Cricetulus griseus: one gene and its partner. The protein of the gene in region 1 purifies or fractionates together with the protein of each later gene. This does not show direct contact. Links are inferred from orthologs where the notes say so. Each region holds a gene or a part of one and is shown on either strand. Other genes may lie near its edges. The genes, in order: Kcnj4 and Dlg4.

Region 1 (3,879 bases):
CCATCTCTAGGCTCTGCATGGCTTCCCCTAAATTCTCCCTACATCTAAGATTAGGGTAAGAAGATGCAAACAAGAGACAAGCAAGAAAGTTGAAGTCTGGCTGCTGCCCTTCCACTCCTAGCCTGGCCCAGTCCTTGGTCCTACCCCTCCCTCCCTCAGTGCAGGGGGATCGGGCGCTGATGTAATGCACTCGGCTTTCGTCCCCGTGCCAATCTCAGAAGAGAGACGACAGATTGCGTGAGCCAAATTTGGCATCCTAGGGGGAGAGGCATGAAAAGTGGAGATGTGGAGGAGAAGAGGAGCCTGGGGAGGTACCAGAGAAGCCCCCCTGCCCAGCAGACCCCCGGGTGCCTCCTCTGCCTCTGCTTACACGTCCTTTCTTCCCTAGCCTGCCCTAGCCTGCATCCCCTGCCGGCTAGTCAGCCTAACCCACCAGGGACCCTCCAAGCCTGGGTGCTGCCAGTCCACCCTCCCCCACCCCTACACACTGCTCCAGCTCCATTCCCACCGCTAGTTTCCTGGTTACCATGTTGCTGGTTGTCATGTCGCTTACATGTCCTCGTGACTCAGTGGTCCCTGCAGAGGGGCCCCCTCCTCCTCACAACCCCCTTAGCACTCGCCCCCGCCTCCCCCAGATCTACATTAAGAACCTGCCCGCCCTGTGTAGCCCACACAGTTCCTCCTCCCCCTCCCTCTCATCCTAAGACCAGAATCTTCCCACAGCATCCTAGAGTGACTTTGTCCTCCAATCCACAAATGTCTCTTGAGAGCCTGCAAGCCTTGGCTTTCTTTGCAAGCTCTTCTCAGGGGCCCTGACACTATGTGCAAGCCACTGACATCTCAATGGAGTTAGTGCTACACTCCCATTTTCCACTTGTACAAACTGAGATCAGAGAAGAAAAGTCAGCTGCCCAAGGTCACCCCAGCAGAAGACCACGGACACGTCTGTCTGGCCAGTCACCTCTATGTAGCCCCCGCACCAGGGAATTGTTTCTTCAAGGATGACACAGGGGATCATTGGGTACAGTTCCCAAGTCCCAAGTCCCCCATTTAATGCCTAGACATTTCCATTATTGTCAGTCTGTATGTCCAGCCATATTCTTGCCACTCGGTAACTACTTATTTTCTGTCAAAGTAAATTGAGTCCTTACTCCCGTCTGCCCAGCCCTTCCTCCAGCCCACCAGTACTCTGCTCACGGATCTCAGGGCCCTCCATTGGAGGTCAGTGGGGCAGATCTGGTGTCCCCATTCCACATATGTGTTGGCAGAGGCTCGGGTAGCATAGCTTACCCAGTATGCTAGTTTCTCAGCTAGCTGGGGTTCATTTCTAAAGCCTGGATCAAGTGATATAGGAGGCATGATGCCCAGTATGGAAAACTCCAGGAAGAGACCCTTCCTCCAAAGGGAGAATAGAGCTGAATGCTCTGGGTCCGCCCTCCGGTCTCCAGCCTCATGCCAAGCAGCTGTGCCCCTACCATGTTGCACGCAATCACTTGCCCCAAGTGTCCTGCTTCCCCATTTGCTCCTCTTCTCAGAAGCCAAGTCAAGCCTATTCAGGGCTCTTGGGTCCCTAGAAGTCCTGGAAGGTGCAGGACTGGATGGAGGGTGGGAGTGGAGTGTATATTGCATCTCTGGGTCCAGCCCCTCTCTGTCCAAGGCCAGACACTCCCTCTTCTTCCCAGCTCCTTCAACCTACTTCTTGGTGCTCTCCTGCTCTTGAGGCACTGTCTCTGTGAAGCCCAACCACCTTGCTTCCTGATGCCTGGAGGCCCCTGTTGCTTGCCTCTCAGGGTTTACCTATCCCTGTCTTGAAGTCTGGGTCCCTTACATAGTTGTGTGTGGCAATAGGCTGACCCTGGTTAAGGGACATTCTGCAGGTGTGGGGGGATGGAGCTCTCTCTGCTTGGAGCTCAAGGCATCACTCTTTGCTGTGTTCTCCCCTTGCAGAAGAGGGGGTGCATTTTCCCTCTCTCTGCAGCCTCAGTTTCCACCACTAACTACCCTGAAATGTCTCATTTATGCACCCCTCTCACCTACCCTAGCTTTATTTGGCACAAGGCAGGTACTCAACACAGCAGAAGGGGGATTTTTGTCATACTCAGAACTATCACAGAGATTGCAGGTGGGAGGTGGGAAGTAGAGACACCCCCTTCCCATCTTGCTGCAAGTCACCTGCCTTGCAGCTCCTGGCATGGAGGTGGGCGAGGGCAGAGAAGGGCCATTGCCAGGGCAGGAGGTCAAGATCTCTTCCATCCATCTCCTTTCTTTTTGCCAGCCGAAACCCATAAGCGACAAATGGACAGAGCAGCTCAGGGAAGTCACAGGACCACACAGGGACCTTTCTGGACCCGGGTCAGAGAGATGAGTGCAGGATGCATATGGCAGGACAAACAGACACCCCCTCGGCTAGATAAGCATGGGGACGTACTCACTCACGGACTGACAGCGCTCGCGGTGGGCGAGCCCGAGCTTACCCCGGGGCGTAAGATCCGAGGCGGTTCTGGGCGGCGGGTGGCCACTACATCCCACGACGGAGTCCGGCGGGCGGCGTCCGGGGGCGCCGGGGTCGGGGCGCGGGCGCTGGGTGCCCACGATGTCGCCGTTAGCCCGTGAGGCCGCCGTGGGTCTCGGGGTCTCCGCGCCGTCCCGCGCTGCTTCCTGCGCAACTTTCAGCGTTGCCCGGCGCCAAGAGCTGGGCGCTGCCTGGGTGGTAGCATTGTGGAGCCCGGGCTCAGGTTGTGGGGTCCCGGGGCCCAGGGCGTCCCGCCGCCCTCTGTCACCCACAGCCCCGCGACCCTCTCGCTGTTCGGCTCTGGGGTCGCCGGGCTTTGTGGCCACCTCGTGCCTGCTGCACGATCCCCGCCGCTGCGTCTCGGTCCCGCCTCTCCTCCCGCGGGGTTGTGGACCTCGTCTCTGCGTTCCGGCTCCTGCCCCGCGCCGCTTCCTCGGCCGGCTGTATCCTTCTCCGTCTCCGTCCCTCCCACTCCCGCCGCCGCCCCCTCCGTCTGGGACCCGGTCCCCGCCGCGTCCCCGGCTCGCCCGGGAGCCCGAGCTCCCGCCGCCCGCGGCGCGCCGAGAACTCCCAACTCGCAGCACGCGCCCCGCTTCGGAGACTTTCGCCCCTCCTCACACGTGACCCGCGCCCCGCTGCGGAGGCCGCGCGCCCCGGCTTCCAGCCCCAGGCGCACCCCGCCCTGGCCCTCCCGGTGCGCCCAGCCCACGCAGGCAGGTCACTCGCGTCCGGGACCGGCGACTGGGGCAGGGGTCTTGGGGGTTGCGCCGTCCCATTCTCTCCCGGATCCTGCCCGGGTTTTCCTCCTCGCTCTGCCGCGCTCCTCCCGGAATCCGTTCCGAGAATCCGCTCCCGGGTTTGCGAGGCCCCCCGTGGGCAGGTGGGGAGGGTTCTCCGTACCCAGGAGAGGGTAGGTGAGAATCGGTCTAGCTGAGGTCCAGGTGGCCCTGACCCTCTCCTGGACGGTCTGTATTCCCTCCCGAAGCGCTAGCAATTAAGGATCCTAAGCACTCCCACTTGGGGAGATAGAGGTCGCTGTTTTGGAGGGACCCTAGTCAGTAAGGCTCCAGTTCACATAGGAGAGGGAGACTGAGGATCCACAGAGGTCCATAAGTTCACAAAAGGTCACCCAGTGAGATGGAAGTGAAACTAACCCTAGTCCCTGTTTTCTTCTTCACTTTATTAAGTTGTCTTTTAGTTTCTATTTATGTGTGTTTGTGTGCTCGTGTGTGTGTGTGTGTGTGTGTGTGTGTGTGTGTGTGTGTGTGTGCCACGTGTGTGCAGGTGCCTGTGTGTGCATTATGTGTGTGCAGATGCCCTTGTGAGTATATGCGCACCACGCCTGTGCAGATGGCTGCGTGTGTGTG
Region 2 (3,810 bases), on another chromosome or scaffold:
CCACCAAGCTCATCATCCACCCTCCACCTACCTTGGCCTTTAACCTTGACCACTCTCGTCGCTCAACCCTGTGGGATTACATGGAGGAAGAGCAGGAAATAGTAGGGAAATGCTCAATGACATCCCACCCTCTGGACCAGGTGGGAATAATATCTTCCTAGCTGCCCCTGGGCCCTATGTACCTCAGTGAGAAGTTCTTTCCCAGGGGCTGATGGGAGCCATGGTCCCCAGCAGGGTCTAGCACACACCCAGCCTGGGGGACCTAATAAACTTCAATGCCTCTATCAGGAAGGCTGCAGGGCCCCAGGAGCCTCACCGTCGTTTGCTGGGAATGAAGCCAATGTCATCGGTCTCACTGTCAGAGTGGACCCGCCGTGCTTGCCACCACTCTTCATCACTAGCGTCAATTACGTGAAGCACATCCCCAAAGCGGAAGCTCAGGGCCTGGCTCAAGAAACCGCAGTCCTTGGTCTTGTCGTAATCAAACAGGGCCCTATAGCACAAGGGACTATGGGTCAGGGACTGGCTGAGAACTCCAGGAAGGGTGCACCAGCCACCTTGAGAACCAGCCAGATTCTGGGCAAGGAAACTTGCCATACAAAGCATGGACTGCTGGCAGCACACACAAAGAAACCCCGAACCGTCTAAGGACTAAAAGCTCTGCCGAGTTTCTGAAAGAGCAAAGATGCAGAGAAAAACAATGTGACTGAGGAGAAGAAACAAGCCCCCAGGGTCATATAGTACCAGCTGGCAGTAAGAATTCTAACCCTTAGGGACCTACTAGGCTCCAACAGCGGGGGAGAGCATGGACGTGGGCCTCCGAGAAGGAACACAAGCATCCAGGAGAAACACAGCAAGCTCAGGCTAGGTTGTGTTGACTGTGACATGCCCATGGGACAGCCCAATGGAGATGGCCCAAAAACAACAGCCGGAATTGGTCTAGGCCTCTAAGCCGGTATCAAGCCAGGCCAGACAGCTTTAAGAGACACCTGTGTATAGCACAGGCAGCTAAGGCCAGCCAACTGGAAAAAGAAAGAGGCTGAAGGACCAAGGCAGGAAGAGGTAAGGAGGGGAAGGAAGTCCCAATGCCTTGTGAGGGGCCAGGCAGAGGATCCCTGAGATGGGGACAAATGCTGCTGGGCAGGCAGCGGGGGAAGCTGAGGTGTGTTTTCAGCAGTGGTTTCAGTGCGAGCCTAACATGCATGAGGCTCTGTCTGGATCCAGTCCCCAGCACAGGGGGAAAAATGGAAGGAAGGAAGGAAAAGAAAGACAGACAGACATACAGGAGGCACACACAAAGAGCTGCAGTCCTTTCCACTGAGGCTTCCCACAGGGTTGCCAAACTGAAAGACTCAAAATATCCCAAAGCTGGGCATGGTGACAAGTGCCTGGAGTCTAAGGCAGGAAGATTATTAAAGCACGGGAGTTCAAACTCACCCTAGGCAAGAACGGGGGAGAGGAGGAGGAAGGAGGGGGGAGAGAAGCAGAACGGGGAGGGAAGGGGAGGGAAGAGGGAGGGGAGGGAAGGAAGGAGGGAGAGGGAAGGTGCTAGAGATGCCTACTGTGTCAGACACTGAACTTAGGTCCTACTGTGAGAGCGCTTGGGGAAGCGCTTGGGTGACCAGGGCTAGAAAGCAATTAAGACACTTGGGGCAGGGGCTGTTTTTCAAGCTAGATAATATATTCTAGATTAGCCTATGCAGCCAAGTCTATGAACTCCTGAGCATCAGGTCTGGATGGGAGAGTAAAAGGCAGGCAGGATTTAGGGAAGGAGCTGGGTGGGGACTGGACGCGTTCAGGGGGAAAAGAACACACGGAGGCCTCAAGCATCATGCCCAGGGAGCTTCTCACCTGATATAGAAGCCCCTCTTGGGGTTGCTCCGTAGGGATGCAGTCCCTGAGCCCAGGCTACTATTCATAAGCTGTTCCCGAAGATCATGGATCTTGGCCTCGAATCGGCTATACTCTGAGGGAGGACAAGAAGGTTCTGGAATTCTGCCCCACCCTAATGCCACACACACACACCCCTACCCTCACTCCATCCCTGCTGAGGCCATCCATCAGCTAAAGTGACAGTTCTGAGGCCCATTTTAGCCAGTTAGGCAGGGAAGCTTAGACCTGGTACCTTCTGGTTTATACTGAGCAATGATCGTGACCGTCTGACCCGCGTTCTTCAGGGCAATGGCGGCCTGTTCATGGCTGGCATTGCGGAGGTCAACACCATTGACCTAGAAAGGGGAGAAGAGGCTGTCACCTAAGTCTCAGGGGGTCAGGGAATGGACTAGCAGGACCAGGCTGGATCCCAGCCAGCCCCTCCCCAAGAGCAGAGAGCTCTGTTTAGGGGGAAGTGCTGACCCTTGCACAGGCCTCTCTCACCGATAGGATCTGATCCCCCTTCCGCAGCTCCCCACTGAGGTCAGCAGGGCCCCCAGCAAGGATGAAGGAGATGAAGATGCCTTCACCGTCCTCGCCACCCACGATGTTGAAGCCCAAGCCTGTGGAGCCCCGGTGGATCACAATTCGCCTTGGTTCCCGGGGAATGTCTTCCTCCCCAAGCAGGTCCTTGGCCACCGGGGAGTAGCGCCGAGGGGAGGTGGGGGTCATGGCTGTGGGGTAGTCGGTGCCCAAGTAGCTGCTATGACTGATCTCATTATCCAGGTGCTGAGAATATGCTGAGGGAAGACAGAAATGGGTGAGGTAGAAATGCTAGGACAATAGTACCCACCCACCCAGTCTCTCCAGGGAAGCCTAGAGCCAGGCTCCACCAAGGAGCAGTTATTCTGCCAGAAAGGCATGTTGGTGACCAACAGCATCAGGGGTCAGGAATTTACAGATGACATCAAAGGTAATAATCTGAAGGTCATATGTCTTTAGTATGCCAGCAATGGTGAGACCAAAGGGAAATATTAGTACTATGCTTTTCAGACTGCCTTTTGGTTAAAGTGTCTCTCAGGTCTCTTAATCCATAAAATTTCTCTCCCTCGTGGCTATTCATTTACTTTTTTTTTAACTGTCTATTTTCCCACATTCTATGAGGGATAGTCCTGCTTATATCCCTGTGGTCTCAGTCCTGTCTCGGCTCCCTTTCTGTTTTCCTAGGCTTGTCCTAGAGGCTTGAGCAGACTCAAATTCATTGTGAAAATATTCCCCCAGGGGGTATTCCCACTACATGATCCTGTGCTTCCCACTACATGACCACAGGAAGCAATGTTGTGGGGCCACGCCCAGCACATTTGAACCCCAGCCCTGGGGAGAAGCGGTGGAAGTTCAGTGAGTTCCAGGCCAGTCGGACCTATGTGGGGTCATCGGCCCCATCGGCTCAGTACAATGTACTCTGTCAGCCTGCCCTAAGTTCTGGCAGGTGTCTAATCCTGCTATTTGCAGGAATTGCAAAATGTTAACATTCTACAATCATAAGTAAGATTCTTATAAAGGACTGCCCTACCTGATGATGGGTGTCGTGTTTGAGCCCACTATCCCACTCAGGAGGACTGCTGCAAACTGAAGGCCAGCATGGGTAACATGATGACTTTGAAGTCAGCTTGGGCTAAATAATGAGACCCTATCTCAAAATGGTAACAAACAGAAAACATGCACACACACACACACACACACACACACACACACACACACACGAACTGCTGCATGGCAACCCTGGTGCTTACTCTGGGGTAAGGTTTATATAGAAGAGGGGACGGATGACTAATTCTGTCCCTTACACATTTTCAGGAAGAATGATATACCTCTAGGTAACCTAGCATCCTCCCAAGGTAAAAGAAAATGATCTTGTAGTGAAGATGGAACCCCAGA

The links.
Region 2: the proteins of Kcnj4 (region 1) and Dlg4 purify together in Homo sapiens (affinity purification with western blotting, with the first as the bait; 3 studies listed by BioGRID). This does not show direct contact. The link is inferred for Cricetulus griseus from reciprocal best matches to the Homo sapiens genes KCNJ4 and DLG4.

Annotation. Positions count from the first base shown.
Region 1 is NC_048595.1:376,673,718-376,677,596, forward strand, and holds the start of Kcnj4 (inward rectifier potassium channel 4), read right to left. Parts: upstream 3,099-3,879; 5' UTR 2,475-3,098; intron 1-2,474. UniProt on the Homo sapiens protein: Inward rectifier potassium channels are characterized by a greater tendency to allow potassium to flow into the cell rather than out of it.
Region 2 is NC_048600.1:83,885,751-83,889,560, reverse strand, and holds part of Dlg4 (disks large homolog 4), read right to left. Parts: intron 2,673-3,810; coding exon 2,377-2,672; intron 2,229-2,376; coding exon 2,126-2,228; intron 1,967-2,125; coding exon 1,852-1,966; intron 494-1,851; coding exon 317-493; intron 69-316; coding exon 32-68; intron 1-31. UniProt on the Homo sapiens protein: Postsynaptic scaffolding protein that plays a critical role in synaptogenesis and synaptic plasticity by providing a platform for the postsynaptic clustering of crucial synaptic proteins.